4 linked regions of the Rhinolophus ferrumequinum genome follow. The protein of the gene in region 4 interacts with the protein of the main gene of each other region in a pairwise test. Links are inferred from orthologs where the notes say so. Each region holds a gene or a part of one and is shown on either strand. Other genes may lie near its edges. The genes, in order: SNX12, NDRG4, SNX11 and ARL6IP1.

Region 1 (6,958 bases), on a different chromosome or scaffold from region 4:
GCTCACATCAAGTTCTGATGTTACCTGTTTGTTTGCCAAGAGATTTGAGTCAGCGGTTTTTTTTTTTTTTGGTGTGATAATTGAGGTACAAAGGATAACTCTGCCTTGCCCAACATCACTTGGTAACTGTGAAGCTCTTTGCCTCTTGTGAAGAGCAAAAGTGTGTGTGTGTGTGTGTGTGTGTGCACGCGCGCGCGTGCGTGCACCAGCTGGTAGCAGCTGTCACTGTTATTACTGCAAAGGATTTAATTAGCCCAGTACCCTCTACTCTCCTCTCTCCACCCTATCACATTTTTCTCTTTAAAAAACCCCTTCACACCTCATTGTGAATTTAACTTGCACAATTCCCTCCGGGCTATTTGATTTTAAGCCTTACCCCTTTACTTACCTGTATATTCAACTTCTCACTTTCCATGAAATCCCCCCACCTCCCCCAGCTATAAACACTCTAACAAACAAACAAATCCTTCTTTGACACTGCATTGCCCACTAGCTACAACACTCCTTTCTTAGGCAAGCTTCTCAAAAGAACAGTCTCTACTAAATGTTTCCACTTCTGCCCCGGTTTAGTTCTCGGTGTCCTGCCATCTGGGTTCTATCTCCAGTGCTCTACTGAAACTGTTCTCATGTAGGTCATTGTCAAATCTAGTGGACGTCACTCAGGCTTTATCTTACTTGACTGTTCTATTGTATTAAAACACTGTTAACCACCTACTTGCTCGTTTGGAAACATTGTTTATTCCTCCCCTTCAGCTCATTCTTGTCTCCTGGTTCTCTTTCTCCTTATTCTTGTCTCCTGGTTCTCTTTCTCCTTCCTTGACCACTCCTTCCTGCTCTCCTTCACAGGCTTCTCTTCCTGGCCCTGTCCTTTAATTTTCTTTTCTCAAAGGGAAATAGTTTTATTTCTTTAATTAAAAAAACAACATACGTTCATTGTTTAAAAAATCCTAAATAAAAACATAAAATCCAACTGAAACCCCACCACAGAGGTAACCACTGCTAACATGTTGATTTGTATCCATCTAGTCTTTAAAAATTATTGTATGTAGATATATCATGTTCAATAATACAAATGGTATTATATTATGATAGTTTTACCAGCTTTTTTCACTTTTGTATGGGCATCATTCCACATCAATGAGCATAGAACATTATTTTAAATGGACACATAGGAGAATCCTGAATTTGGCCATTTACACAAGAGACAGAGTTTTATGATGGAAGTGACTGAGATACAACGTCCGTAAAGTAGAGAACCCAGTACTCCTTTGTAAGACTTCTCATATAAATAAATTCACAAATGAGAAAAACGTGGCTACAAAAATATTCCGTTGTATAAAATGAACAATTATTTACTTGTAAAGATAAGATCCATATTCTGGTATCTTTATGTGAGTATCTGATTCTTTTCTCAGGGTAAATTATTGGAAGTGAAATTTTTGAGTCAAAAGTTTTGATCAATAACAGTAAAATTGTTTTTAAAATATAAAAGTACTTAAATGAGAAGAAAATGAAAACAAATTCTCCCTACTGTCCCTGACTTCTGTTCTCCGGTTCTGCTCTCCAGAGACAACCAGTATTACAAGTTTCTTGAGGTCACAGTGTTTTGCTTTTTTTTTAAGGAGGGCACAGCTGACAGTGGCCCACGCGGGGATCGAAATGGCAACTTTGGTGCCATCAGCACCACACTCCAACCAACTGAGCTGATCTACACTCTCAGCAACCCTGCCTGCCTTCAACAATTTGAAATCTCCTCTGCTTGCCTCTTCACATTCTTGCTTCCACACATGCTGATGACGCTCAAATCTCTATCTAACCCTGGTCACACCCTAGAGCTCCGGGCCAGTATTTCCAGCTGCCTGCTGGACATCTCCACCTGGATGTCCTACAGACATCTCAGATTTCTCCAAACTGAGCTCATTGTCTCCCTTCCCGAAGTCACTCTTCTTTCTGTAATTCCTATGTTGCTTGGTGGTACCAGCATCCACCTAGTTACCAAAATCGGAAAACTAGGGGTCATTTTCAATGTCCTCCTTCTCCCCTCAAGTAATAATAATAGCTAATAGTTACTGAACATTTACTATTTGCGCATATTTTATTTCACTGAATTCTCGCAAAAGCTCCAGAGGTAGGTTTTAGTGTTATTATTTCCATTTTACAGATGAGGGAAACTGTTTGGGTAACTTGGTCACAGTTACACAACTAGGAAGTAGGGCTTTTAAACCCAGGCAGCCTAAGTGCATCGCTCCCACTCTTTAGCCCTATGCTATACTGCCACTGTATCTAATCAGATTCAAGTCCTATCTACTTTAGTTCTTCCATCTCAGTCCCATCTCTTCCCTTTTCTCCATTCCCACCATACCACCCGGCTCCAAGTGTTATTGGCGATACTCTCATGGTTAGTTACATTCGACTCAATTGTATCTTCCACGTTATTCTCATGGTTAGTTACATTCGACTCAAATGTATCTTCCACGTTGCCTGCAAAATAATCCTTGTAAAACACAGATCTGATCATGGCTTCTTCCTGTTGAAGACGGCTCAGTGGTCTACATCATAAAGCCAGAGCTTAATATAGAAGGATCACCCTCATCTGCCCATCTCCAGCCAGCCTGTCTCTCTAAGCACTTCTATTACATACCCTGTCAGAATTGATAATTGCTTAAAAATATCATGCTGTATCTTACCGGGATGGCTTTGCATACGTTATTCCCTCTGCAAAACATTACATTTCCCCATTTCCTCTTATTTGTCCTTTACGTGTTTCATGTCTGTCAAACTCAGATGTTTTCTCCTCCAGGAAGCCTTCCCTAATTCCTCCAAGTCATTCATGTCCTATGTGGTGCTTTGAATATTCGTTTATTTTGTATTTGTCACATTATATTCATTTTATGTACCTGTCTCTCTTTCTACAGTGTTAACTCCTTGAGGGTAGTGACTCTCTTATTCAAATTTAGGGCTTTAGTGCTTAGTATGGTGCCTGGCACATAAGTAGTTGCTTGGTAGATATTGGTTATATGGAATTAAATAACCTAATTCTGAAATTATAGAGCCTGTACTCTGTTGAAAGAATTTCAGCCATCAGTGATATGGGATATATATATATATATATATATATATATATATATATATTTCGTTTTTTTAGCAGAAGGCTGGTGTGGGGAGGGAAAAAGGATGATTTAAAACTACCCCTCATGTGGGCCATGTGTAAATTAGTCATATATTCATGTTTCTATAGACATTCTCACGTAGACATATATTCTATCTCCATTACAGGCTGCAGGTAACCTCAGAGTAGTGTCAAGTATGGAGTTCTGCAGAGTGAAGATAGAAGGTATGAAGTAAATGCCCTCAGTTTTCTGTATTTGAGCACACCTTGGCTTCAGTTTTATGAGGCCACACGTGGAGGATGAAGATATGCCCAAATTTTCCCAAGAAGTGAGAATGAGAAGTCATCTTCGTTACGCTATCCTCGCTGCTTTCGTGATACCATACAACGCACACTGATTGCTCAGTTGCGTGTGGAGTGAATTGAAACTATCAGTGGCACGAGTGGCAGGGCTGCGTTCGTTCTAGGTTCTCAGTGCCATTGTTGGAACCTCACAATTCCAACAATGAGGCCCCCCTTCTGTTTTCGCGCAGAACCTTACTTATTCAGGTCCCGGGGCTTCGGCCTATCGCTGTCGGACCCCAGCGCGCAGGGCAGTGCCCACTGCTGACTGCTACACGGTGTAAGACAGTCTCTTGGGTTGAGGAGCAGCGATTGGCGGATCCCGCTGGAGTGCTTCCCGGGATACGGGGGGCACGTACGGGGATGCAGGCTCCGGGGCAGCCGCAAGCACCGCCCGGAAGCCTGAATGAGGCCTCGCGGTACGGGACTCCCAACCGTCAGCGTGGCCGCTATACAGGGTGCCGGGCCCGAGGCCGGGGCGCCTGCGTGCGCGTGCGTGCGTGCGTGGGCGCGCGTGCGCGGCGCCGCAGTCTGTAGGTTGGCTGGCTATTTTGCAAGCGGGAGGGGTCGCGCGCGCTCCTGCCTCCGGCCTCTGTCCCCCACCCCCCCTTCCCCGGTCCCGGCCTCGGTCTCTCCTTCGGAAAGATGTCGGACACGGCCGTAGCTGACACTCGGCGCCTTAACTCGAAGCCGCAGGACCTGACTGACGCTTACGGGCCGCCAAGTAACTTCCTGGAGATCGACATCTTTAATCCACAGACGGTGGGCGTGGGCCGCGCGCGCTTCACCACCTATGAGGTTCGCATGCGGGTGAGTCACGGGGTGAGGGAGACAGCTGAGGGAGGACCTGGCGACGGGCCGGGAAGGGCGGGGGGGGGGGGGTTGCCACAGGAGCGACGAACAGTGAAGACGCTTGAAGGGGTCCTTTGGGGGTTCGGGGCTGAATAGGTTTGGGGAGAGGTCTTCAGACGGGGTTGTGGGCCGAGGGTCCACAAAACTCCTGAGGGGGATATCAGACCGGGTGAGAGCAAACAAGTCCCCGTGAGCAAGAAGTGAAGCATGGCCGGATAGGGTGGGGACGATGGACAAGATCGGAGGAAGGAATTCAAGGAACTAGTGGTCACACCAAAGGAGTGAAGGGAAAGTGGGGAGAGGGCTGGGGCATGGAAAGCCGAGGCGAGATGTCGCTGAGGCCCCTAACTAAACTGGGTGGTGGGAAGTCACTGTGAAGAGGCCAGGAAGGCCCGGCCCGGCTTCTCCCGAGGGGGTCTGGTCTCCCTCCCTAGGATGATGGAGTTAGGCAAAGCCTGATTAAAGGGAAGGAAGGTAGACTCCAGGAAAGGCAGACAGTGGGCTCGGTGGAGCGAAATCAGAAAGGGAGTCTCCTGGAGACTGAGTGCTTCCCAGACTGGTGTAGAATTAGCATCTGAAGGAGAGAAGTGTTTTCTGCTTAGGTGTTCTCGGATACCACACGCTGTGTCTCACTGTGAAACCAGGCCTTCCACTGTGATTGGTGGATTGTCAGTCGTTGCTCTCTCATCCTGTGCTTATCCTTTAGATTCCAAGTGTCCAGAATGCTTATTTCAGTATTTATTGGCTCTCATTTGGGTTTCCTGTATATGAATGACCACTGGCCCTTTCTGTCCTAGATTAACCATTTGGATTTAGACCCTGGTCTCTAGTTACTTTAGTATATGACATTTCAGGATTGCCCCAGGAGTGGCTTCTTCAGTGTACACTACAGAGGACTTTATTCTCCAGTTCTTAGTCCACAGTGCAAGGATGGAATGTGCAGACAGCATACATGGTTTGCAGGTTCTTTTGCCCAGTCGAAGTGGTTACGGGCAAAAAAGTTTGAGAACCATTTTCTAATTTTCCTTATGTTTTCTTCTCAGACTAGAGGGCCAGAATATTCTCTGTGGACAGCATGCTGCTCAAACAGCATTTGAAGACCTAAAAGAGTGTATGTGCTTTCATTTTTGAATGAATGAATGAGAGCATGTGCTCCTCCCTGGGCATTGAAATCTAATTGCGAAATGATGGCCTCCAAATTCCAAGTTTGGCAAAGCCCAAACTGAAGAAAGAAAAATGAATAGAAAAAAATGAGAAAAACTCACCTACATAGATAAGAACTACTTGAAATCATCTCTTTGGGGAAGAATGGAAGTTAGAGCCCTCAAAATATCATAAAGGCTGGGAACATTTACTGGTACAGAACGTAATTACCTGGGGAGGACTGGCCATAACTTGTTCAATGTAAGGACTCCGCTGTGGGAGCTTTGGGGACACTGCCGAAGGGCCTTAGGGATTATGAATGAGATCGCTCTCTACTTCAGGCATTCTAACAACAGTGACTGCTGTGTGCCAGGCACTAAACCAGGTTTTAGTTTTTAAACCCTTAGAAAAATGCCATTTTACAGGTAGGAAACTGAAGAGGAATCCAGTTTCACGAACTTGCCCAAGTACACGAAGCTAGTGTATGGCGGGGCTGGGGTTTGAACCCAAGCCTGTCTGACTCCAAAGCCCATCATACTCTTTCCACTATGCTTCAGTCTCTCTGGCTATGCTTAGTTGCAAAACTGAAGCGTACAAAATTTTTCTGCCCACTAAGCTTTTCATCAGTCCTTTCCACAATTTCCAATTGCGTAGTGATGACAGGGCTGGTGGCAGTTCCTGGTTCTGTGGGTTTGGAGTTCATTTGTATTGTTCATGTTCATACATATATACATCTATATAGGCTTTTAACATTTTTTTCAACTATGTTCGGAAAAATTGGTGAAAATCGTTTAGTTTTAAATTTCTTTAAGTGGTCACAGTAGGCCTTATAGGGAGCATGAGATTCAGAGAATGGGCTTTGGGCGTCAGGCATTATGAATGGCAGAAGCAGATGCCTCTTGACGTTGTATAATAGCTATTTCTGAAGCTGTTCTCTTTCATTTTGCTCAGGAAAGAATTCTCCCCCTCCCATCCCCCCAAGAAATGAGGAGTCTGGAGAGGTGTCCTGGTGACTTCACATGATGTGTATGGAAATTTTCAAATGTCAGTTGTCCTTTGGACTTGAACTTTGCTTCTTCTCTCCTTTTCCTTGACTTTGTGTTGGTCAGAGCCCAAGGACTCTATATCTTGTACTACACAATCCTGTCTTCCTCAGGTGATCTGTAGGTTGGAGCTGGGAGACTGTCCTAGTGCATAGTAGCCCTTTCCTTAGATGGCTACCGTGTTTCCCCGAAAATAAGACCTAGCCGGACAGTCAGCTCTAATGCATGTTTTGGAGCAAAAATTAATATAAGACCTAGTATTATATCATATTGTATTATACCTGGTCTTATAGTAAAATAAGACTGGGTCGTACATTAATTTTTGCTCCAAAAGACACATTAGAGCTGATTGTCCAGCTAGGTCTTATTTTCGGGGAAACACAGTAGGTGCTGAGATGACAGGCCATTAACTGTCAGCATCCTGTGGGGATAGGGAAAGAATCTGAGTCAAAGGAGGAAGTTTACAGAA
Region 2 (7,607 bases), on a different chromosome or scaffold from region 4:
GGATGGATGATGGATGGATGGATGGATGGCACTCTCCCCCAATCACCCCCTTTCTCATCTCCATCTACTGACTTCCCACCACTCAAAGGCTCCAGGAAGCCCTTGCTGGTCCCTCCAGGCCCCCATCATACTGCATAGTAACTTCAATTACATATTTTATCAGCGTCTGCCCAGGACCTAGATTATGGGACTCTAAGTTGGTTTCCTCCATCTGTGCATAAACCTTAAAGGCAAGGTTGATGCCCTGGTCAGCTGTGGTTCTCCACTGCACCCCACAGCAAGGGGCTTGGCACCAACGAGGCACTCAACCAATAATCCTATAAAAGAAGAGACAGAATCCACTCTTCTCTCCCTGAGGCCATTTGACTCATGGTTAGTGAGTGGGGGAGTGTCAGTGGAGGGGGGACAGTTTCTGCCTTATCCTCCTCTGCTGAGAGAAGCTTCTATGGCCCCAGGGTCATCTGCACCCCTGACCCCACCTCTAGCTCTTTTTACTTGCTCCCAGTCATGGTCACGAGGGAACTGGAGAGGAATAGTGACTCAGCCCAATTCATCACCACAATGGAAAAACCCAGTCACCTGTCTTCCTGGCAACGGGACCAGAGCTGCCTCTGTATCTGAAAGGGCAGCACGCCATACTGGTTTCAAGGTCCTTTTGTCTTTCACCTGCTGAAAAATCAAAGACTAAAGCATGAAGGAGCTCCGCCTGTTGACACAGGATTTGCAGTGGGGTATGAATCTCAGAACCAGGGATCACGTGTTCCCTCCATGCCGGCTCCAAGTTAAGTACCCATGTGCGTCATCTCGTAGCAGTTTCACAACAAGTCCATTGTTATCTGAAGTGAGCACGGTCATTTTTTTGGCCGCCAGCATCTGACACGCCCACCTCCCACTAGAAGACCTGAGAACACCTTTGCCCTGCCTCCCTTGCAGCTTTGGCAGGGTACCTGATCTGGGTGCCTCCAATCAGACATGCCCTTTTTGAGGGGGTAACATTGGTTAATAACATTATAAAAATGTCAGGTATACAGCTTTCTATTATGACATCTGCCCACCACCTGAAGCCGAGTCTTTTTCCATCACCATATATTTGACCCTCTTTGCCATCTTTCTCCTCCCTCTACTCCCTTCCCGTCTGATAACCACCATTCTGTTGTCTGTATCTGAGTTTGTCTTGTTTGTTCATTTGTTGTTTTTTTTGTTTTACAGCCTACTTATGAGTGAAATCATACAATTTTTGTCCTTTTCCTTCTGACTTATTGCATTTAGCAAATAGTCTCAAGATCCATCCATGTTGTTGAAAATGTAGACACACCGATTCTTGACTGTGAATTAGAAACTGGTGACCTGAGGAAGCCAAGACCACACAGAATTCATACCGGCAAGGATGCAGCAGTGGCCACAGCACCACCTCAGGCTTCAGAGGCAGCCCGATGGCAGCGTCCAGTGTCCTTGCCCTGGGGTGGTGCTGGCTGTGCCCAGAGATGGCAGCAGTTTTGACACCGGACCAATGCTGCAGTGTTGGGCCTGGCTCCTGAGATCCTGAGAGCTGCCTGCCCTCATTTTATCAAAGCCCTTTTACTCTTTAACTAGCCAGAGTAGGTCCATTATTTCCTGCAACTATCCAGCCTGGTATATTAGCCCAAGTTTCCCGATGGGGAAATGAAGGCTCGGAGAGGTCTTCCGAAAGGCTGTGTCTCCTCTACAGCCAAGGTGCAGGCCAGTCTCCTGCCTGTTTTACAAACGGGAAAAGGGAAGTCCAGAGGAGGCAGTGACTTGGGCAGCATCTTTCAGCTAATTAGGAACAAGGCTGGGGGACATGTCTTAGAGGCCCCCTGTCCCAGCCAACAGCTTGGCCCTCTGACACGCTCTGCTTTCCTCTGTTGAAAATCCTGCCATCCAGCCTACCCCGAACCCGTGCCCCCTCATAGGGAGGAGGCACTCAGGAGCAGGAGGGACTGAGAACTGGCCCTTCTGCTGATTCAGTGGGGACTCCTCATTGCTAGGCATGCTGACTCCTCCAGAAGGGGCCAGGGCGCCTCTACCTGCCTGTTCCCTGAGCACCTTTGCTTGCTGCAGTAGCGCCGCCACCCTCCCCCCAAGAAGGGAGGTGTTCTTACAACCACATTTCTTCATCATCTGTTAAATCTCCAGTTTTAGGGTTCAAATCCACAACCTGGCCCACCTGGATGCTCACGTGGAGTTCATGGCTTATCTGAGCCAAATGGATTGTCTACATTAGTTCAAGGCCATGGCAGACACCATTCCACACATGGACAGAAGTGTCATTGTTTCAAAGCTCTTGTTAGGCAGCCTCCCCAGGCCTATGTTCCTCCGAGCAATTCAGAAAAGGCCAGACCTCATGAATTATGTTACTAGAACATCAACAATTTGTTTTGTTTAATGACTAGTTTGAAATTATTGAGAAGGGTAGGACTCAGGAAAGCCTGAGAGAATCTCTAATGCAATAATTATAATGTTATCATCAATAATAGCGACTGTCTATTGAACACTTCAGCCATGTGCCTGGCACTGTACTAAGCACTTTATGTTCCATCATTTAATTCTTACGGGAACCCTCTGAGGTCAGCATCATTCCAATTTCACTGGGTATGACATGGAGGTTCAGAGAGGTAAGTAACTTACTGGATACCACACAGCCAGGAAATTGTAGAACCAGCCTGTGTTCTTAAGGACTCGCTCCAACTTGTATATACAGAACCAGGCTCCTGGATGTTTTGGATATAGCAGTTCACTCTATCACCACTGACCTCCCCCATCCCCTTTACAAAAGAGGAAACTGAGAGGCCAGGATTTCCCCAAGGTGAGCCCCAGAGCTGTAAGGAGAACCCGAGCTTGCTGCCTCCTATGTGGTTATATACTGCACCCCAAGCAGGAACGTGCACCCCATCTGGAGCCACCAAATATCACAAACTTTCTCAAGGAACACTGGTGATTCCGTTAATTCAATGCCATAGCAGCTGCCCCCACAGCCTGGAGCTGAAGGAAAGCTGGGGTCTCACCACAAACCAGCCCAGATAAAGGTCCCATGAAGGTGAGCAGGTGGGGGCAGGCTCTTCAGGATCCTCCAGACCTCCCACTCCACTGCCTTCCTGGACCTCCCAGATGACCTGGTCCAACACAATCACTCTATAGGTAAAAGGCTGGCATCCAGGAGGGGCAGAGACCTGTCCAAGGTCCCTCACAGAGTCTGGATAGAACCCCAGCCCCCAGGAGCCCTCCTCTTAAACTGTTTTGTCCAAGTAAATATTTTCAGGTCATCAGATTTCCATTCTCCCTGCATTAGGACTCCATCCAGGGACTTCTGCGCTCCCTCCTTTGGGGTGACAAGTGGGAGCAACGCCACAGGGCCAGACCAGAACCTGAGGAAGACGAATCTCCCAGTTACCTTTCCCGCTCACATAATGGAGGTGAGTTGAGCGGAACAAGTGCCTTACTACACAAGGGAGGGGGCCAGGGGTGGGGCTGAGGGCCCAGACACCTTTGCTGGAGACAGTCACTCCCACACGAGTCCCCCAAGTAAACCCTGGGGTTCTGAAGACTGGGTGAAGACGCCCCAAAGGTGCCTGAGCGCCTGGCTCTTCCTGACCCCCCAGGGCTTTTCCCCAGTGGTTCCCAGGCGGCGGCAGGGGTGGGGTGGGGTGGGGTGCTGCCTCCTCCGGGCTGGGGTTCCCCTCGGGAATCTAAACAAAGACTGAGGCGGAAGCCGCCCCCTCCCCCGGGAGCACGACGCCGCCCGGCTGCAAGAGGACCGTATCTGCGGGCGGGGCCTCCCACCACCACCCGAGGAGTCCCAGCGGCGGGGACCCTTCCTCCAGGAGCCTTCGGGAGGTAAGGAGTGGAGGACGCGGGGGACACGATGAACCGGAGGGTCTCCGCTAGGCTCCGGGGTCTCGGCGTCCAGCTCGCCCGCCTGCCCACCCACGGGAACTCCCCCGGTGGCGGGAGGCGGAAGCTGAGCTCCCAGGACGGCCTCCCGGGACCAGTCCCCATTGCAGGCTCCGCCGGCGTCCCCGCGCCCACGCCCACCACACCCACGTGGGCGCGCCCTCGCAGGGCCTCCGCCCCCCGCAGCCGCTCGACCGAGGGGCCTGGGGCTGCAGCCACCCGCGCCCGCGCATTGGCGGCGAGGCCCCGCTCCCCGCCTGCGCCTAGTCCTCGCTCACGTCGCCCTCGGTGAGTTGGCGCCGCCCTCGGCCCTTCGTCCCTGTCCCCCGGCCACCGCGGCCTCGGTCAGCCCCCGTCCCGGCGCAGCCACAGCGCACGACCCCAGACCCGCAAGCCGGTTCCCTGTCGCCGGGGCCGCACCCCCTCCGCCTCTAGCGCGCCCAGGCTCTCCCTCGTCGCCTTCCCAGCCAGAAGCGGGGACCCCGAGGCCACGGCCCCTCCGCCGCCCGCGCCTCCCCCACCGCGACACCCGCGGGTGGCAGGGCCTCTGTTCCAGCGCCGTGCGCACGGCCTCCTCCCGTCGCCCCCGAGTGGCCCCCGCACCCACCCCTTGCGTTCCCTCCGCCTCCCGGAGTTCACCCCGACCAGGTGGCAGCGGGCGCCTTTTAGGGGTGCGCGGTCGTGCAATTGGTGGATTTTTTAAAAGCGTTTTGGAGGGGGGAGCGCGGCGTGGGGGGCGGCAAGCGCGCTCCTGGCGCTGGCTGCTGCTCCTGCTCCGCTTCTCCCTCTCCGGCTGCTTCTCGCCTCGCGTTCCGCGCTGCTCTCCCCGACGCCGCAGCCCGGAGCTGGGCAGCGCCAGGCGCCGAAATGAAGGTGCTGGGGCACAAGATCCAACTGCTGACAGGTACCACCGGCCCTCGCCGCCCGCCACTGTCCTAGTTGGAGCGCGAGCCGGGAGCGGTGGCGGGGGGTGGGGCGGCTCGGGTGCGAGCTGGCGGAGGGGTGCGGACGCCCGCTGCTTCCTAGCCTGTGCGGGACCCGGCCCCGCCCTGCGCTGCTCTCTGAGTCCCCGGCGTCCCGGTGGGTAGAGCGTGTGTGGCGGGAGCTCTGGTCAGGGGAGCGGCCCCCCGGTGTCTCCGAGTAGCCAAGCTCTAGTCAGGTCCACAAAAGAGGAAAGGAAGTTTAGAACCCCTGTCCTCCAGTCAGTGTCACTCGGTCCCCAAAGAAAGGAGCTCCCGACAGAGCGCCTGCCATGGCCTCTTATTCCTGCTCCCTGTAAGAGATAGTCTGAGCGCTTCTCCCAGGAGAAGCTGACTGCTGAGAGGAGAGGCCTGGGAAGTGGGAAGCCAGATGGGACCCTGATGACTGGGGCCCCTCAGCTTTGGGTCCCCCTGGAGAAGTGGCCAGACCCCATGGTGGAAACCACATCCAGGGCCTTGAGACTGGAGATCAGCAGCGGACATTGGATGTGCCAAGAGGAGGAGGCAGGGAGGAGCAAGGTCGCTGGGCCAGGGCTTCGAAGGGTGGGGCACGCGCTCCCAGGCACAAAGGGCGAATTGCACAGGCAGATTCTGTGGAAAGATGTGTGGAGAGACTCGGACAGGAGGACGGGGGCTAGGAAAGGGACGCAGTCTGGACCCCACCAGTGCCTGGGTGGTGGCGGTGCTCAGTGTGTCCTGGATGGACACGTGGATTCCAGCACTGTCCTCTGGCACTCAAGAGGTCTGGTCCCTGACCTCTGCCTTACCATCTGGTGCAGGAGAGCAGAGCACAGGACCCTGTTACAAGACAGAAAAGGGGGCAGCAGTGTGGGGGTGCACTCAGGAAACAGGTTGGCGTCGGAGTGGGGGACACGAGGGGAGCAGAAAGATTTGAGCATGTGGCAGCATTTGAACTGGACCCTGTAAGATAAGATTTCTATTAATGGAGAAGGAGGTGGCATTACAGGCTGAAGGATGGAGGGACTGGTATATGCAGAGGCCCTGGGGTGTGAGAGGCTTGAACTGGGAGTGATGTGAAGTGGAGACTGGAGGGCCTGGAGAGAGTGTGTGTGTGTGTGCGTGTGTGCATGTGTGTGTGTGCGTGTGTGTATGTATGTGTATGCACGCGTGTGCATGTGTGTGTGTGTGTTTGGGGAGTAGGTGGGGTGAGGTTGCAGGCTGGCCGCTCCTTGGTTTGGTGGCAGACTTCTAGTGAGGTGAAAGTGGGGCACTGGAAACTGCCAGGTGCTCAGAAGTGCCAGATCGGTGCCCAGGTAGCCACCAGGCTGGCACCCCCTGCAATTCCTTGCCAACTTTTCCTTGTAGAGCCCCCTGAAGCCAGCTCACCCACCTGACTTCAAAGGGGATTGCACAGGGCACTGAACTTGTTAATCCCCTGAAGGAAAGGTTTTCCAACCCAGTGGGTTTTATAACCTTGCATGCGCGACCAAGCTCCTGGATCCTTCCGCTCCTCCTCTTCCCGCCCTGCAGAGCCTGGGGGAGGAATGCTCGCAAGCGTCATGTGTGGGGCTCCAGTGGGGGCCCAGGGGGTTCAGACAGGCCCTTCCTCCCTCATCAGACCGCCTCTCTCAGTTCTGGCCGACTCTCTCAGCCCCAGCCAGGCTGGAACAGCACCCCTTCTTCATTGTCATTGATCACAGTTGCACCTCTCACCAGGCCATCCCCAGTCGCTGTCGTGTGGTTTTTGCAGCCATCTCCCTCTTTCAAACTCCTCCCGTCCCACAGATCTGGGTTCAAGTCCCAGCCCCACTGCTGGGCAGCTGTGTGATTTCAGACAGGTTGCTTAACCTCTCTAACTTCAGAGTTCTCATCTTAGAGATGGAACTGTTGAGCCCTCCCTCTGAGAGGTGGTGTGAGGCTCGCTGAGATAGCACAGCTGACACACCTGGCTGGGTCCTGGGTGGTGGGCACCTCTCGGACTCCTTGATCTTGACTGTCCTGTAATAGTGTTCATGTTCCCTGGCTGATTGACTGCTAGGAAGTTCGGATATGTCCCCACCCATCTTTATTCTTGCTCATATGCATCTGTGAGATTTTTTTTTTTTTATTGGGGAAGGGGAACAGGACTTTATTGGGGAACAGTGTGTACTTCCAGGACTTTTTTCCAAGTCAAGTTGTTGTCCTTTCAATCTTAATTGTGGAGGGTGCCGTTCAGCTTCAAGTTGTTGTCCTTTCAGTCTTAGTTGTGGAGGGCGCAGCTCAGCTCCAGGTCCAGTTGCCGTTTTCTAGTTGCAGGGGGCGCAGCCCACCGTCCCTTGCGGGACTCAAGGAATTGAACTGGCAACCTGTGGTTGAGAGCCTGTGCTCCAACCAACTGAGCCATCCGGGAAGCAGCTTAGCTCAGGGTGCCATGTTCAATCTTAGTTGCAGGGGGCGCTGCCCACCATCCCTTGCGGGAGTTGAGGAATCAAACTGGCAACCTTGTGGTTGAGAGCCCACTGGCCCATGTGGGAATAGAACCAGCAGCCTTTGGAGTTAGGAGCACAGAGCTCTAACCGCCTGAGCCACCGGGCCGGCCGCATCTGTGAGATTTTGACCCATCTTCCTGCTGGTGATAAACAGGTCACAGTCAGGGTGGTGGCCAGTTTCCCATGGTAGCATACAGCAGGTGCTCAGTACTTGTTGACTGAGTCCAGCCTCACATAGCCCACCCATCAGCTGTGTCTCCAGAATAATTTCTCAGAAGCCTCCAATTTC
Region 3 (7,860 bases), on a different chromosome or scaffold from region 4:
AGCACCCCACAGCTGCACAGGCTGACTCAGGATGTTTTCCGCTCCTTTGTAAAGATTCATTAAAGCCTAAGCCGCTGATTTCCCCCAATGTGGCAGTTTACATGTGCAGCCACATCGCCCACTCCGACAAGGGGACCATGAAGGTTGCAGCACGGGGTTACTCAAGTCCAAAGGGGCCCATGATGTCACCTTCTGTTAAAATACAGCACTAATCTTGTTACTCCTAGAACCACTCGAAAAGCATCCAACCTGGCTGCCACCTCCACCCTCTTCTCATCTCTTAAGAGCGGAACAATAAGGTTTAATTTCCCTTTCCAATTTACCTTGAAATGAAAACTGACTTCAGCCAATATGTACTGCCAACAAATGATCCGGGCTGGCTCCTGGGAAAACAAGACTATCTCTAAGATCTCCCTCTCCTCCCCCATGCCCATTCACACCCACTCATTCTTACAGTCCCACAATTAATTTTAAACACATTCCCTTATTAGTTCTGCCTTACCATTAGAAGAGTGTGTAATGAGTTTCCTTCTATTTTATGTTTAGCTAACACAAGGCTAACATTTCAAGAGAATGGAAACTCATTTACACCACAAAATTAGCAGAGCAAACAGCTTTTCCAATTCTTTCCAGTATACCAGAAGGTCTCTCCACACTGCACTCAGAGACAAAGCTGCATGGTATATGACAAAATTGGGCTACATCGTTGAGCAAACCGAAAGTTTTATGATTTCAATATCATTTTAAATAGCATTCTTGCTGACAATCTGATTTTTCATCTGATGCAGTCACCACTGCAAAGGGGTCTGAACTGAAAGGTAGGAAATTCCAATGCCATAACAACCCACGTATAAAATCCCAGATGTAAGCAGTCAAAGGGCTGTGGCCAAAAAGAGCAGGGTGACTCACTGTAAACAATGAACCTCCTCAGATTTAAAAAAAAAAAATTTCTCTTCTCTTTTCAGGCATTTGGTAAATTGCCAGCATATGAGCAGAGAGTTCGATTCTGAAGTGTTTCACAAAAGTAACGACAGGAAAGATGATGCCCAGGAAATCACAGTCATCCACAAACTCCGTGGAGCTCACCTATCTCCTGTGCCTTGAAAGGTTTGTCAAATTCAGGACTATAATTTAGTAACTAAAAGGTCATCACTCTCCTGGGCTCAAGAAGAGTTTGCCTAGGGCTCTGCACCACTTCCACGTGCAAGTTCCTCTCCTTTCCTTTGGGACTAATACCACTTATAAATAAATAGCTATAAATTGGCTTTAAAAAAAATCCTAGGACCTCCCAAGATGCTGTATACTTAAATGTAAATTTAAAGGGCACTAAGAAAGTTTCAGTTGTAACTTCTTAAAAACACTGAAACAAATTTAAAAAAAACCTAGATTCCAAGTAATAATTTCTAGCAACTACGTACTAATCTGTTAGCTTCCTCTCCGTAGATGCCACTCCTTGGAAGGAAATGAAGTTCAGTTCTCTGGAGGGGAAGGAGGAAGTTCTAAACTTCAGGATCTGAGAGATGGAATGGTTTATCATCTAAATAAAGATAGTCAGTGATTCTCTCAGCTACTTATGCAACTCAGAGCTAACTCCATTTCTTGGCTCTTGCAATCACATCTGAAGTTTACTTTCTCCACTAACATCTCCAAGGAGAACCCAGTTGTTTGCTGTTTACAAAGTAAATTCCTTGTAAAGCTTTCCAATCTTTTAACAATTCAAGGCTTTAGCTCCACCATTTTCGCTCCCATTTAAACTACTTCAAGAGACAGGTTAAAAACAAATCAGAGAACCATATGATTGCACTGATATGTAGTATATAAAACTGAAAACAACAAAAGAACAAGACAAACAAATGAAGAAACAAAAACTCATATAGACACAGACAATAGTTTAGTGGTTACCAGAGGGTAAGGAGGGAGGTGGGTGGTAGATGAGGGTAAAAGGGGATCAAATACATGGTGATGGAAAGAGAACTGACTCTGGGTGGTGAACAACAATGTGATGTATAGATGATGTAATACAGAATTATACACCTGCAATCTATGTAACTTTACTAACAATTTTCACGCCAATAGACTTTAATTAAAAAGCAAATCAGGTGATAAAAGTACATGGAGCTACCAAGACTCCTATCCCTTCTTAGTCATTGTTGAGCTCTTGGTGCCAGAAGGCAACTCAAAAATCTCTCCTTCCTAAACACCCACAGGTGGTACAGGAAGCTCCCCCCGCTGACCAAGCTCTGTGTGTTCTCAACCAAGCATCTCTGCTCCATCCTTTTGTCCCTCTGTAACTTGCCAATCCTTCCACTTGGAAGGTAAGTCGCAAAGTTGATCACAATCTAACGCAAGAGCCTCCCGTAAAATGCTTGCCATTACTCTTTGTCCTAGCCGTTTGAGTAAATGTCCCCAAACTCTTTTACTACAGCCACTCTCCTTCCATTCTTAACGAATGGAAGCAAAGGGCCACAATGGTCCTTCTTCTCCTTTGTCTATTAATCTTGGGGAGTGGGAAGGAAAGATGCTTTATATTCCTTTAAAAATAAATGGAAAAGCCACATTTCCTCCCTTGGATGCCGAGCAAGTACCTGCCTTTTTCCCGGGAGGTGAGACAGCCCTTAGGATGTCAAGCGAAGTGCCCACCCCAAGCGCGACTAATGACGCTAAAGTCCGTGGCCCTCACCTCAAAGCAGCACCCAGTCCCTGCGGCCCCGCCCACGCTTCTTCACCTGAGAGCAGCACCCACTCTCCACAGCGACACCGCCAGCACCTTACCATATAGCCAGTCGCAGCTTCTCCTTCCGGGTGAGTAGACGGTGCCCCGGTGCACGACGGGAGACGGCTCCCTACACGCCAATCCCGGGTGCCCAGGACGCCCCGCCCCTGCAGACCCCGGCTCTTAGTGGCGATTTTGCTCGCGGGGCGGCGCGCTGGGCCCAGCTCAGACCCTGGCTTCAGTCAGGACCCCGCACCACTTACTCCTAGCGACAGTGGGTGGACGCCGTGAGGGGTGGTCAGGGCTATGACGTCCAATCCAGGGCCGCGTCCCTCCCATCGTTGTCAGGCCAGCCAATCAGAGGCCAAGGAGCGTCTTTAAAGGTCTGAAAGAGGGACCTCCGGAGCAGAGCGGCATGAGGGGATTGTCGCCGGGGTTTTCATTCTGCAAAGCGCGGTCTTGAGTGTGGGAGGGTCGGGGCAGAAAATGCCCCCGTTCCTGGAGCCTCGTAAAGTCCCGAGAGAGCCCTCAGTTGCACCCCATAGGTTGCAGTTCCCCAGGGGAGTTATCAAGAGGACTTCAACTCAGGTTCGTAAAACCACAGACTATCAGAGCGAAAACCGGACTGAGACAGTTCAGCAACACACGTTTCACTTGCCGAAATGAGCCCAAAGAAGGATGGTGCAGCTCGTTCGTAAGAGCAATCCGTTGAATATGATGAAGGGTTTTTTTCATGTTGTTGAAATATCTTTTAACTACCAGTTTAAAGATGATGTTAGCAAAGATAATATCAAGGGAAAAGTTATGGTTATAAATACAAGCTCTGGAGTTAAGGTCACCTAGGTACTAACCCCAGCACTACACTGACTCTGTGGCCTGACGCTGGTCCTAAATCTTTGTAAGTCTTAAGTTTCTTCATCTGTAAAGTGGAGATTACTGCACATACCTCAAAGCAGCTTTTCTCAAACTTGTTGGTCTCAGAATCCCTTTACGATCTTAAAAATGATTAAGGATTCCACGAGCTTTTGTTTATGTGGGATATTCACCAAGTTAGAAATTAAAATTGAGAAATGAAAAAATATTTATTACTTCACCTAAAACAATAATAATTATTACATGTTAAAATAATATATTTTGTGAAATACAACTACACCAGAACAAAAAAAAAAATTTGAGTAGTGTCATTTTATTACAATTTTGGAAATCTCTTTAATGTCTGGCTTAATAGAAGACAGCTGGATTCTCCTATTTGCTTCCTCATTCTCTATTGTGCTATGTTATTTTGGTCTAGTAAATGAAGAAAATCCTGTCTCACACAGATTTTTTAGCCTTCTGCTATAATTGTGCATACCTTTCTTGGATACCAGCAAAACTCAACAAATGGTCGTTTCTTAAAGGTTAGTTACAATACAGAATCTGAAACAATTTGAAAAATATTGGCTTACTAAATTATGCAGATCTTCCAGATATTGATGCATTATATTATTCAATATTTTAAAAATCCTATTTCTTTTTTTTTTTTTAGATTTTATTGGGGAAGGGGAACAGGACTTTATTGGGGAACAGTGTGTACTTCCAGGACTTTTTTCCAAGTCAAGTTGTTGTCCTTTCAGTCTTAGTTGTGGGGGGCACAGCTCAGATCCAGGTCCAGTTGCCGTTGCTAGTTGCAGGGGGCACAGCCCACCATCCCTTGCGGGACTCAAACTAGCAACCTTGTGGTTGAGAGCCCGCTCCAACCAACTGAGCCATCCGGAAGCTCAGCCGCAGCTCAGCTCAAGGTGCCGTGTTCAATCTTAGTTGCAGGGGGTGCAGCCCACCATCCCTTGCGGGAGTCGAGGAATTGAACCTGCAGCCTTGTGGTTGAGAGCCCACTGGCCCATGTGGGAATCGAACCCGCAGCCTTCTGAGATAGGAGCATGGAGCTCCAACTACCTGAGCCACTGGGTCAGCCGTTTTCTGTCATTCTTTCAAATAAAAACATCCCATGAAAAAGAGCAGCTAATTCAACTCACACATCTCAAACAACTGCACAACCATCTACTTCAGTAAGCAGCAGAAGGGCTTTATGTACATCTTCCATTTCATCACATATTACATTAAAAAGTCATATACTAACCAACTGAATGGGAGAAGATTCTTGCAAACAGTGCCTCCGATAAGAGGCTAATATCCAAAATATACAAGGAACTCATGAAACTCAACAACAAAAAAACAAACAACCCAATTGAAAAATGGGCAGAGGAGCTGAAGAGACATTTCTCCAAAGAGGACATACAAGTGGCAAATAGACATATGAAAAAATGCTCATCACTAATCATCAGAGAAATGCAAATAAAAACCACAATGAGATGTCACCTCACCGCAGTCAGAATGGCTATCATCAACAAGACAAACAGTAACAAGTGTTGGAGAGGCTGTGGAGAAAAAGGAACCCTCATACACTGTTGGTGGGAATGCAGACTGGTGCAGCCGTTATGGAAGGCAGTGTGGAAGTTCCTGAAAAAATTACGAATAGAATTACCATATGACCCAGCAATCCCTCTCCTGGGTATCTACCCAAAAAATCTGAAAACATCTACACATAAAGACACGTGTGCTCCAGTGTTCATTGCAGCTTTGTTTACAGTGGCCAAGACATGGAAACAACCAAAATGTCCTTTGATAGATGAATGGATAAAGAAGTTGTGGTATATATACACAATAGAATATTATTCGGCGGTAAGAAAAGATGATATAGGAACATTTGTGACAACATGGATGGATCTTGAGAGTATAATGCTAAGTGAAATAAGTCAGAAAAAGCAGAGAACCATATGATTTCACTGATATGTGGTATATAAACCAAAAACAACAAAAGAACAAGACAAACAAATGAGAAACAAGAACTCATAGACACAGACAATAGTTTAGTGGTTACCAGAGGGTAAGGGGGGTGGGGGGTGGGAGATGAGGGTAAGGGGGATCAAATATATGGTGATGGAAGGAGAACTGACTCTGGGTGGTGAACACACAATGGGATTTATAGATGATGTAATACAGAATTGTACACCTGAAATCTATGTAATTTTACTAACAATTGTCACCCCAATAAATTTTAAAAAAAGACAAAGAAAATTAATGTCAAAAAAAAAGTCATATACTCTAGGAAAGAGATTTCATAAAGTTAATAATTTGTACTGCTTCATGAAGGATAGCCTTAAGTGAGAGTGGCTTATAATTCTTTTTTTGCATAGGTGTGCCAGTAGAGAATACTCTATCTAGTATGTTGGTGCCACACTGCCTTGATTCATACAAAGGTGCCAGCAGTTTCACTCACTGTTGCTTCTCTACCACCAGTGCAAATGTCAACACATGAAAAAGAACAAATAATGTCTTACTATCATGAAAATTTTGACCATGCAGACTCCCTCAAACCATCACAGGCACTTCAGAGTCTGTAGACCACACTTGGAAAACCCCAGAGTATATCTGCAGAATGTATCCATTCATTCAAATATTTATTGAGCCCTTTCTATGGGCTGGGCACTGTTTTAGGCATTAAGAATAAAGCAGTGAGCCAAAAAGGAATATGTCCTGACCTCCTAGAGCTTATATTTTAGCATCATCCATCTGGAATATTAATAAATGCTTTTAAATAAATTCATTTATAATTTGAATGTAATATATATTTCACAAACAAGTGGTGCCCTATCTCGAGCTTATGTTTTCAACAATTTCTAACGTTTGATAATGGAGCCAATCCTTATCATAGCAGAAAAGTTAGCAAATGATGTAAGTACCTCTCCAAGCAGGGATCCCTTCTTTTGAGAAAACCAATCAATGTCAGAGCTATGGGTGCATTATTTGACAAGTGTATGTTTTAATTATAGTCCATTAGTACCTGGAAGTCACTTGAGAATCAGACCAACAAAGGAAGGTAAGAGAAACAGCTCTTAAGTATATATTTGCCTTTTAAAAGAGATTGCGAGTTAACTGCAAATGAATAAATCTTTAACAACAGAATTTCAAGTAGTAATCAAAATCAAACAAAGACTCTCACACCCATTAGGATGGCTAGTATTTAAAAAAAAAAAGAGTTGAGAGGATGTGGAGAAACTGAAACCTTTGTGCACTGTTGGTGGGAATGTAAAATGGTACAGCCACTGTGGAAAACAGTATGGCAGTTCCTGAAAAAATTAAAACTAGAATTACCATATGATCCAGCAATTCCACTTTTGGGTATGTAACCAAAAGAATTGAAAGTGGGGCCTCTTGAAAAGATATTTGTACACACACATTCATAGGTAGCAGCATTACAATAGCTAAAATGTGGAAGCAACCCAAGTGTCCAACAGTGGATGAACGGATAAGCAAAATGTGATATATTCATACAATGGGATATTCTTCAGTCTAAAGAAGGAAATTTTGACACATGCTACAACATATGTCCATATGAACCTTGAGAACATTTTGCTAAGTGAAATAAGCCAGTCACAAAAAAATAAATACTAAATGATTCCACTTAAATGAGATACTTAGAGTTGTCAAAATCATAGAGACAGAAAGTAGGACGGTGGTTGCCAGGCTGGCAGGAGGGAGGAATGGGGAGTTATTGTTTAACAGGTATAGAGTTTCAGTTTTACAAAATGAAAAGAGTTAGAGATGGGTGGTGATGGTTGCACAACATTATGAATGTATTTAATACCACTGAACTGTACACATAAAAATGGTTAAGGTGGTAAATTATATATATATATGTATGTATGTTTACTACAATATTTAAAATTGGGGAAGGAAATGAAACAAAGAATTTGACACAGTGCAGAGGAAAATATTTTCAAAGTTCTATACTTCCCCACTTCTTAAATCACATCTCAGAAGCAGCTGTCTACTATACCTAAAATGGCTATTGTTTTTTGAGTGCCAACTATAGACCATTCTTTTTACACACTACTGTTAATCCTACAGAAATGCTGCAAGATAGGTCTTAAATAATATTTTCATGTTTTAGATTTTTATGGAGGCTGAGGATAAGAGAAGTTAAGCAGCTTGTCCAAAGTTACACACAACAGGCAAATCGTAGAGACAGAATTGAATCCAGTTCAGCGGGATTCCAAGTCCTTCTTTTTTTGCAACATCGCACTTCCTTCCCCACATTACTTGTGATT
Region 4 (7,945 bases):
ATTCTAGGTGCTAGAATGGGAACAAGGTAGTCAGCCAAGCACAAAAACATAACAAAACTGGAAACACCGGACAGAACAGATGGATCGAGATAGTAGATAGTCCTGTTTAAAAAAAAAAAAATGAACAAAGGTTAGAAAAACATAGCCATTATTCCTAAGTGTTTATTCACTTTGTCCTCTGGTTCTCAAAAATGTTATTTTGCCCTTTTCATTCTAATTTTCTCACACATGGTTTTCTGGAAGCTTCATAACATCATACATAGCTGCAGTGTAAATACCAAGAGACAAAAGCTCTTTGGGATCTTCAATACTTTTTAGGAGTGTAAAGGGTTCTAAGGCCAAACGGTTTGAGAGTCACCGAGTTATTCAACTGACTTAGGTCACCAAGTTTATGGAAGTACTACAAATTCTGCAAACTAGGCAAACGGCTCAAAGAAAAGGCATTTGTTACAGATTACACATTACAAAAGACTTAAGGCTCCTCCATAAACAGAGGCTGTGTATTACCTAAGCCCTTATTAATAACAAGCACAACCTTAAGGAACAGAAAAGCTCACTTACAAAAACACCAAAGAAACCACGCCCATAGTGGCAGGTGGAAACCAGGCTCTTTCCCACCGCAGGACTTTATCAGCCATCAGCATCACTTCTCCCCATCCTTGCAGCTGCTCTTCCAGACCTGCAGTCTCTTCCGCCTACATGTGATCAACATTTAAAGCCATCATTTTACTACTCTCAACATTTCTGTGGTTCCTAAAGTTAAATTCTTGTAAGGCACCAAGTATGTAAAATAGCTGTTAATCAAATCACTATCTTAAACAAATTAGTTTCTAAAATACTCTACAATGTTGGTACCAATGACAAAAACCAACGGAGGAAAAAAGCTATCATTTAACGGTCACCTCCCAAGTCTAAGAACTGGGTTACTCTTTTCAGGTATGATGCAACATAATCCTCATTGAGCCCCTCAAGGTAGGGATAATTACCCCCATTTTACAAGTAAAGAATGGTTAACTAACTCCCCCAAAGTCCTGCCCTAGGAAGCAAAGTATCCAGAGTATAAAATTAGATCACTTTATGTTCGTTCATTTCGGGTGGTTGGAATTGATCTGTTGTCTTGTCATTTCATTGATTTAAACCCCTACTTCTAAGTCCATTAGGAAAGCCTTTCCCTGAACAGCACTCAGTTTCCAAAATAGCTCTTTGTGTAATGGAATCATTTAGATGTTGACATGATTTGCACATTTAAGAAAAACTACTTTCACCAAAATATATGACTCATTTTAAGCTCAATATATCACCTCTATAGTGCTTCTCACGTTTATCAGGACATTTTGGTTAGACTTCAAATTTCTCTGCTAATCTGACAATCAGCTGCAAGTGGACTTGTAGGATGAGCTAATGTGGCAGAAAGTCCTCTAGCTGATTTTGACAGAGAAAAAAACATTGCGACAAGATACCCATGTGTCCTTAAAAAATGTTATCACAGGGAAATGTGCAAATGACAGCAGCCAGCGCAGCTTAATCTTAATGAAAGATGCTCTCTGTGCCACACTGATCACCTAGGGGACCTCAGTATTTCTGACTTCCCATATCATGTTTAATAAATAAGAGATTACTATGTGAAAGAAACTTGACTAAGTATTTTACACGCTTACACTTTAAACGTCCCAACAAGCTAAAAGGAAGGTGTTACTATCCTCACTTACAGATGAGGAAACTGTAACAAATACACAGACGTTAACAGATCTGAATCCAGGAAATCCAAGGCCAAGAGCCTTGTCCTCCCGAAAAGTCACACTGCTCTACCGGAAAGAGTCCTGACCTGGGGTAACTTCTCTGTGCTTTGATCATCCTCTAAAAAGGAACCTGGCTGGGGCTAACTATGGGGGGGCGGGGGGTGTAAGGAAGTCATGCATTTCTGTGTGTGTGTATAAAGGGGTAATTCATGCATTTGTATTTGTGTGTGTGTGTGTGTGTGTGTGTGTAAGGGGGTAAGTCATGCATTTCTAAAAATGAATGCAAAACGAATATCGCGCGAACCGCCCTGCAAAATCTCTTAATTCGTCAGCACCCGGGCTCTTGGATAATCAAAAGCCCAAACTTAAATTCTTTGCTCCCTCTATTCACTGTGATTGTGGTGTGCAGCTGCCTTTCCCTGGAGAAAGGCAACGGAGAAAATGCACGGATTTCTCTCGGTTTTGCCTCCATCGTGCCATGAAAATCGTAGTGAGGTCAAACTTGTCCGCCTGGGATACAACCAACCTCACTCCAGTGCCTTCGTACCCCTGCTTATTCTAAAGTCGTCCTGCGACCCCCAGACTTACACATTCCGGACAGACGCCTGGACCTCCCACTGTCCTGCCAGCCGTACCCCACTCCCAGTTCCCCAGGGTGAGCTCGCAGCCTTCCTGCCATTTCAAGCTGTGCCAGTTCTAACCGAACTTCTCGGCAGCGGCCCTTTGACCCTCCACCCCTGCGCAAGTTTGGGGCAAAAGAACGAAGTGGCATCCCGATTAAGGTCAAAGAGAAGGAAACCCGCATACGGCTGGGGCCTAGGCCCTCGGCCCCGGGCTTGTCACAGCCCCCCTTTGCCCACTTCCTCAACCCGTATTCGCGGTGACTGGTCACGCACCCTCCTCGCTCCTTCGCGCACCTTTTCCAGAGAATGTTAGGGGACGATACGACTGGCGACCGCCACGCAGGAGCTTCCCAAGAAGCCCGAAAGGGCAGGCGTCGCCGCCTGCGCCTGGAAACCGGGAGAGGGCCAGGGCCGCGGCGCCGCCGGCTTGAGCCTAACACAATACAAAAGCCTCACTCCTTTTCCCTTGCGTCGCGGCGCCGGGACTCACCAGCAGGTTGGTGCTGCGATTATCTCCCTCCGCCATCGTCCCCGAAATACCGCCTCACCGAGCACAAACCGCCCTCCGAAACAGCCTTCCTCCGAGACCCAAAGGGCGACCCCGGCGCGAGGACACGCCCCGCAAGCCGCTTATATAGGCCGGCCGCCTTTCCCGACAGCCCCCGCGAAGCTCGCTCCTCATTGGGCAGCGCGAGCTCAAGCTTAAGGGGAGCGGGACCAACTGCTGCCCAGCGCATGGCTTGAAATCGAGGTCAAAGGAAAGCGAGGCTGCGCAGGGCCGAGGGGGCGGGGACACAGCATGACCAATCAACGCACAGGAGATGCACGATGCCCCGCCCAGGCGTTTCGGAATCTGTTGAACGACCGCTGACCCGGGCTGGACTGGGCCTCAGTATCCCCAGGGTTGGCTGGCACGGTATGTCTCGGAACTTCTCCTGAAATTTAGTTCTCGAAGAAATATGCTACCCAGTATCAGGCGGAGAGCAGAGATGGACATGTTTTGCTAACCGCGCTGTAATGAAAGGGGCCGTCTGGGATCCTCTGCCCGACCAGGCAGTGCCCTCACCCTCGCTGTCCCCCGGGGTTTCTTTTTATTCCTGCTCTGGTCACTCTAGCCATGCCACTGACCAGTCTAGCCGAGATTTGCGACTCGGAGACTCGTGCCCACTTCCTGAGGTTTCGAGGACAATGGGAAAGAGCTATTTATGTAGATTTTCTGCATTTTTTCCTTCCTATTAGGGAAAAGGCTTTAGCTTGATTGGGAGGGATGTAGCGGGGTGATCGGGGTCATACTTTGAGGACTCATGGAAGATGCACCGGCTTTAAAGCTGGCTTATTTACAGGGGGTCTTTTGGAAAATTCTGTGTGAAGCCCTTGAGTTGCTTATGAAGCTACCAGGTTCCTCTCCAAAAAGGACTGCTTTTGACCACCTTACAACTAGAGGTCATGCTAACGTGTCAACTCGCATCAGCAGTGGAATTCATAAGCAATTGAGTAACTAGATGAACTGAGCTGTGCTGAGGCACTTCCCACGCCTTCTCTCTCCAGAATTTCAAAATGAATTAAGTGCTTCGATTTTCGTTATTCAAACAGAGGCATGCCAAATGTTGACCTGGTCAGATGTCTGTTTTAGGAAAACGTAGCATAGCTTTTTAACGTTTTATAGTCATCTAGAATATGCGATCGAATTCAAATTTGTTTTACAAGCATTCCTTACTACCAGGTTGAGAGTTCACAGAAGGCAGAAAAGAAATGTGAGGCAACGGTAGCTACAGAACACATTCCACCCTGAAGAAAGCCAGGGGGACAGCAGCATTGTGAATTTCAAGAAAGTCTTTGAAAAATAAAGCAACTGGATCAGATATAAATACTTGGTGGGGGGAGACTTAGCAAGGGAAGAGGGTCTTCAATAAAGTAATACTTTGGAGGTGTTGGGGGGCAGAAGATGGGTTATGTAGGTAAGATGCAGCAAGTTGATCTAGCGACCCCATTTTTAAGCTATGAAGTTTAAGGGCCCAGCCTTCCCCTACCTCTTCAAAATACGATGAAAGGTCGCAAACAGCAGCAACATAATTAGTGAATACATTGAGCACTGAGAGCACAATTTTGCGAAAGGCACAGTAACATCCACTCCCAAAGGACAGGCCCTAGAGTTATTAGGCTTTAAAAAGTGACAAAAAAAAAAAAAAAAAAAAAAAAAAAAAAAAAAAACCCCACACAAACAACAAAATGACATGTCTGTTTTGGGAAATCAGCTTTTGCTACAGAATACTTCTGGTTTTCACCCAAGTTCCCTATGTACAACTTAAAGACAACTTTTCAACACCAGCTTGTGAAATTGAGGTAGGTGGAAAAAATTAAAGCAACTCCAGCAGCACTTGCTTCGGGGAGTATTTTTTCCTTCCTCGAGGAATGTGTTCCCAGGACTAGATGCAACTTCACAGCCTAGGGGCACTGCCATCAGGTCTTTAAACTTCTAATTGGCCTAACTGAAAAAACACCTACCCTTAGTGTAGCTTCCTTTTGAGCTTGGTTTTTGTACTACAAAAACAGGATGTGATCTTTTTTTAATGTTTCCAATATGACCTTTATTGAGCAAGGACTGCTGTGACGTTTAACATCAATCAATGAAAGGCTGCAGACTGTGAATGTCAACAAGGTTCTCCCATGAACGGAAGTCCATTTTAAATGCACCAGTGAGGTAAACATAATTATTCGTACATAGCTTTCTTAAGGCTAAGAGAGTTCTGTTTCATTTGTTAGTTTTGGCTCAGTTGGTTCTTTGCATAATACAGCTCAAGACATGCCCCCTCTGAGTGGCCCCCCCTTCCAACAGTTTAGGAAATTGGCCAATCACTGAGCCGCTCAGGATGTGATCTTTTGAAACCTGCCAGATGACTAAACCGTTAACATAAATCCTAACACAATCTAGCAACAACAAATGCAGTCTGATTTCCAGACATTAAAACAAGCTGGACGTTTTACTTTTCCTTCAGAGCTTTCACACCCCCAGGAAATGTACACATCAATAATGTTCTATAGTTTTGTTTTTAAATGTTAAACAAAATTAAGCTTAATAAATTGTGCCTTAATACCAAGAACTCCCCCGTTGAAGTAAAATTTCTACTGCTGTTCAAAAGTACTATATAGAACTTTAAGGGTAGAACAAATTACTTTTTTGAGAAGTTGAAAAAGTTTTGGCGGTATTAATGCCTTTTTTTAAAAAAGCTACCCATATTCCAAAATTAAGTTCTGGAAACTACTTCAAGCAATAAATTCAGAGCTTAAATGCTATGTCTTTTAAGAGTTTATTTTTTGAAAAACAGGTATTTCATACAATCTTTGCCATGTCGATGCAAATATGCACAAAATAGGCAGGTATTTTGTTTTCCAAAAGATGCATTATGAACATTTTCAGGAAGCTGGTGTGATTTATTCAACTTTTAATCTTAAATACAATCACAGAATGATATCCGTCAGGAGGCATGACCACCTTGTGTACAGAGAAGCCACTTTATTTATACAACATTTACTAGGACAAGATCCAGTTCAACTCAATTTGCTCTTATAATGAGGGTAAATTAACAAGGGAGTGATGATGAGGTCACTGGCATTACAGATGGAAATACAAGGCATAAAAATTTAAACCAGAAAAACAACTGACACAAGAACTTGAAACAGGAGCTGAACCTGGGACTGTTCAGGAAAAGGAAAACAAAAATTCAGCCAGTTTTCAAAGAAAAACGTTCTACAAGTCTGCATTTCAGAACATGAAAGTCCTAAAGTTGACCAGCTTCCAAAGTCCTAAAGAGCTAGTAGTCGTAGTATGACGTTTTCACATTAGCACACCAGAGAGCTGTTCCCCACTTAAGCTCCGCCAAATTCCCATGGATGGCAAACGACTCCGAAGTAGGTCCCACTGTACAACCAACCCTGGAACCTGAAAAGCTGCTCTAAAGTGGAGTCCATCTGCACGTAAGGGACGGTGATAGTGTTACCCAAGCCTAGAAAAAAGTGCCACAAACCCTTAGGGGTCACAGCAAAGTGAACTGTCCCTTCCCCAAGGTTCAGACCAATTTGTAATGCTAGTCTTTTCTCCCATAGAACGAATCTTTCTAGTACAACCCAAATATTGAAAACAGAGGCTACCTTCTTGAAGTGACCCTCACATTGATATATTGTAGCTCCTTGATTTACGGAGAAGGAAGTTGTAGCTTTAACTTACTGGCACTTTACAAGTTCAAGATACAGAATAGAATGGAAGGTCCCTGGTGTTCAGTCATCTAACTTTACCTAAGACAGAGGTTCTTAAATGTGCTAATAGTAAAGAATCCGCTGATTTCTGATGTAGGTGAATAGGGCCAACTGGCTAATTGTAGGCTAACAGGCTTTCTTTAATGTGAAAAGAAGGGGGAGAAAAGCAGGAGGAGCTGGTGACTGCCAAAACAAGGTAAGCCCCCGGAGTAATTACACGTGTGTGGAGGAAAACAGGCCAGGAAGACTCTTCAGTTGAAAGTACTGCCTATAGTACAAGAAAGACTGAACGTTAACTCTAATATTTGGCTGTACTTGCATTGCCCTGCGGGGCATTTTTTAATGGCTCTTTCCTTAAATTTCACACGACAGAACGGGCACGATTAAACAACAAAAACAAAGCAGATAACACCAAACACTGGACAATATGAAGAAAGCTACATACTAAGCTTAGGTAAGAGAGGCAAGTGTTAAGGGCAGAAGTGATGGAGGTTTTTCTTTGTATCAGAAGCCCTCATCCGGAACCTGGGGCTTGGGCTCTGAAAAGAAGCCATGTGGGCAAGCAGATCAAGAGCTGGGTTATCAGTTCTCTCACATATCTCAAAAAAAAAAACCACAAGTGTCTGACACAAAAGAATCTTAATCATCTAGCAAACTATGTTAAGAACTCGATCAGAAAATAAGGAGGTGCTGCAAGACACACCAAAGAAACAGAGAAATACAGTTCCACGGCCTCCACAACTTTGTAGAGGAATCAACTAAAATTCAGGGCATTCTAGAAAACCGAAGACAACAAAACATTTAAGATAAACCAATTTCCAAGGGTACTTTGAGTTGAATTAGAGGTTGTAGGTTATTCTGTACCCCCTGAATCTTAGAGAAAAGAGGAAGAGAGGAGCAGATCCCTGGTTTTCCACAGGTATTTTGTATCATAAAAAGTGTGTATGACTTCATAACCACAGCACTCTAAACTTGACATTACAAGATAATCCCCCCAATACAGCCCTGACTGCTCCATCTGCTCCATCACCAGGGCCTTTTATTGCTGATTACATCTGTCAAGTTCTCTTACAACAGTTCAGAACGGCAAGGCTACTTACAGGCTGACTTCCAGAAGAGGCCCAACTGTACAGACTCGGCGGGTCCCATCTAGAGCGCACTAAAGAGCGTCTTAGAGGTCATCCATTGTTCACACCTGCCCCACAACCAAACGTGTACATGCCACACTAGTCTGAGGGACCCTTTTAAAAGAAAAGTGACGGATGATTTCCCAGAGGCAAAATATACAGCTATTGATATACAGCTGTTTTGTTTTTGCTTGGATAAGGT

The links.
Region 1: the proteins of ARL6IP1 (region 4) and SNX12 interact in binary tests that used the Homo sapiens proteins (3 or more experiments, as listed by UniProt). The two-hybrid records come from large-scale screens. The link is inferred for Rhinolophus ferrumequinum from reciprocal best matches to the Homo sapiens genes ARL6IP1 and SNX12.
Region 2: the proteins of ARL6IP1 (region 4) and NDRG4 interact in binary tests that used the Homo sapiens proteins (3 or more experiments, as listed by UniProt). The two-hybrid records come from large-scale screens. The link is inferred for Rhinolophus ferrumequinum from reciprocal best matches to the Homo sapiens genes ARL6IP1 and NDRG4.
Region 3: the proteins of ARL6IP1 (region 4) and SNX11 interact in binary tests that used the Homo sapiens proteins (3 or more experiments, as listed by UniProt). The two-hybrid records come from large-scale screens. The link is inferred for Rhinolophus ferrumequinum from reciprocal best matches to the Homo sapiens genes ARL6IP1 and SNX11.

What each region holds. Positions count from the first base shown.
Region 1 is NC_046284.1:1,884,659-1,891,616, forward strand, and holds the start of SNX12 (sorting nexin-12), read left to right. Parts: upstream 1-3,957; 5' UTR 3,958-4,096; coding exon 4,097-4,261; intron 4,262-6,958. UniProt on the Homo sapiens protein: May be involved in several stages of intracellular trafficking.
Region 2 is NC_046298.1:10,731,262-10,738,868, forward strand, and holds the start of NDRG4 (protein NDRG4), read left to right. Parts: upstream 1-4,600; 5' UTR 4,601-4,776; coding exon 4,777-4,813; intron 4,814-7,607. UniProt on the Homo sapiens protein: Contributes to the maintenance of intracerebral BDNF levels within the normal range, which is necessary for the preservation of spatial learning and the resistance to neuronal cell death caused by ischemic stress.
Region 3 is NC_046304.1:34,898,223-34,906,082, forward strand, and holds the start of SNX11 (sorting nexin-11), read right to left. Parts: upstream 3,010-7,860; 5' UTR 2,776-3,009; coding exon 2,681-2,775; intron 384-2,680; coding exon 324-383; intron 1-323. UniProt on the Homo sapiens protein: Phosphoinositide-binding protein involved in protein sorting and membrane trafficking in endosomes. Regulates the levels of TRPV3 by promoting its trafficking from the cell membrane to lysosome for degradation.
Region 4 is NW_022680357.1:14,985,307-14,993,251, forward strand, and holds the start of ARL6IP1 (ADP-ribosylation factor-like protein 6-interacting protein 1), read right to left. Parts: upstream 3,006-7,945; 5' UTR 2,889-3,005; coding exon 2,853-2,888; intron 696-2,852; coding exon 562-695; intron 103-561; coding exon 1-102. UniProt on the Homo sapiens protein: Positively regulates SLC1A1/EAAC1-mediated glutamate transport by increasing its affinity for glutamate in a PKC activity-dependent manner.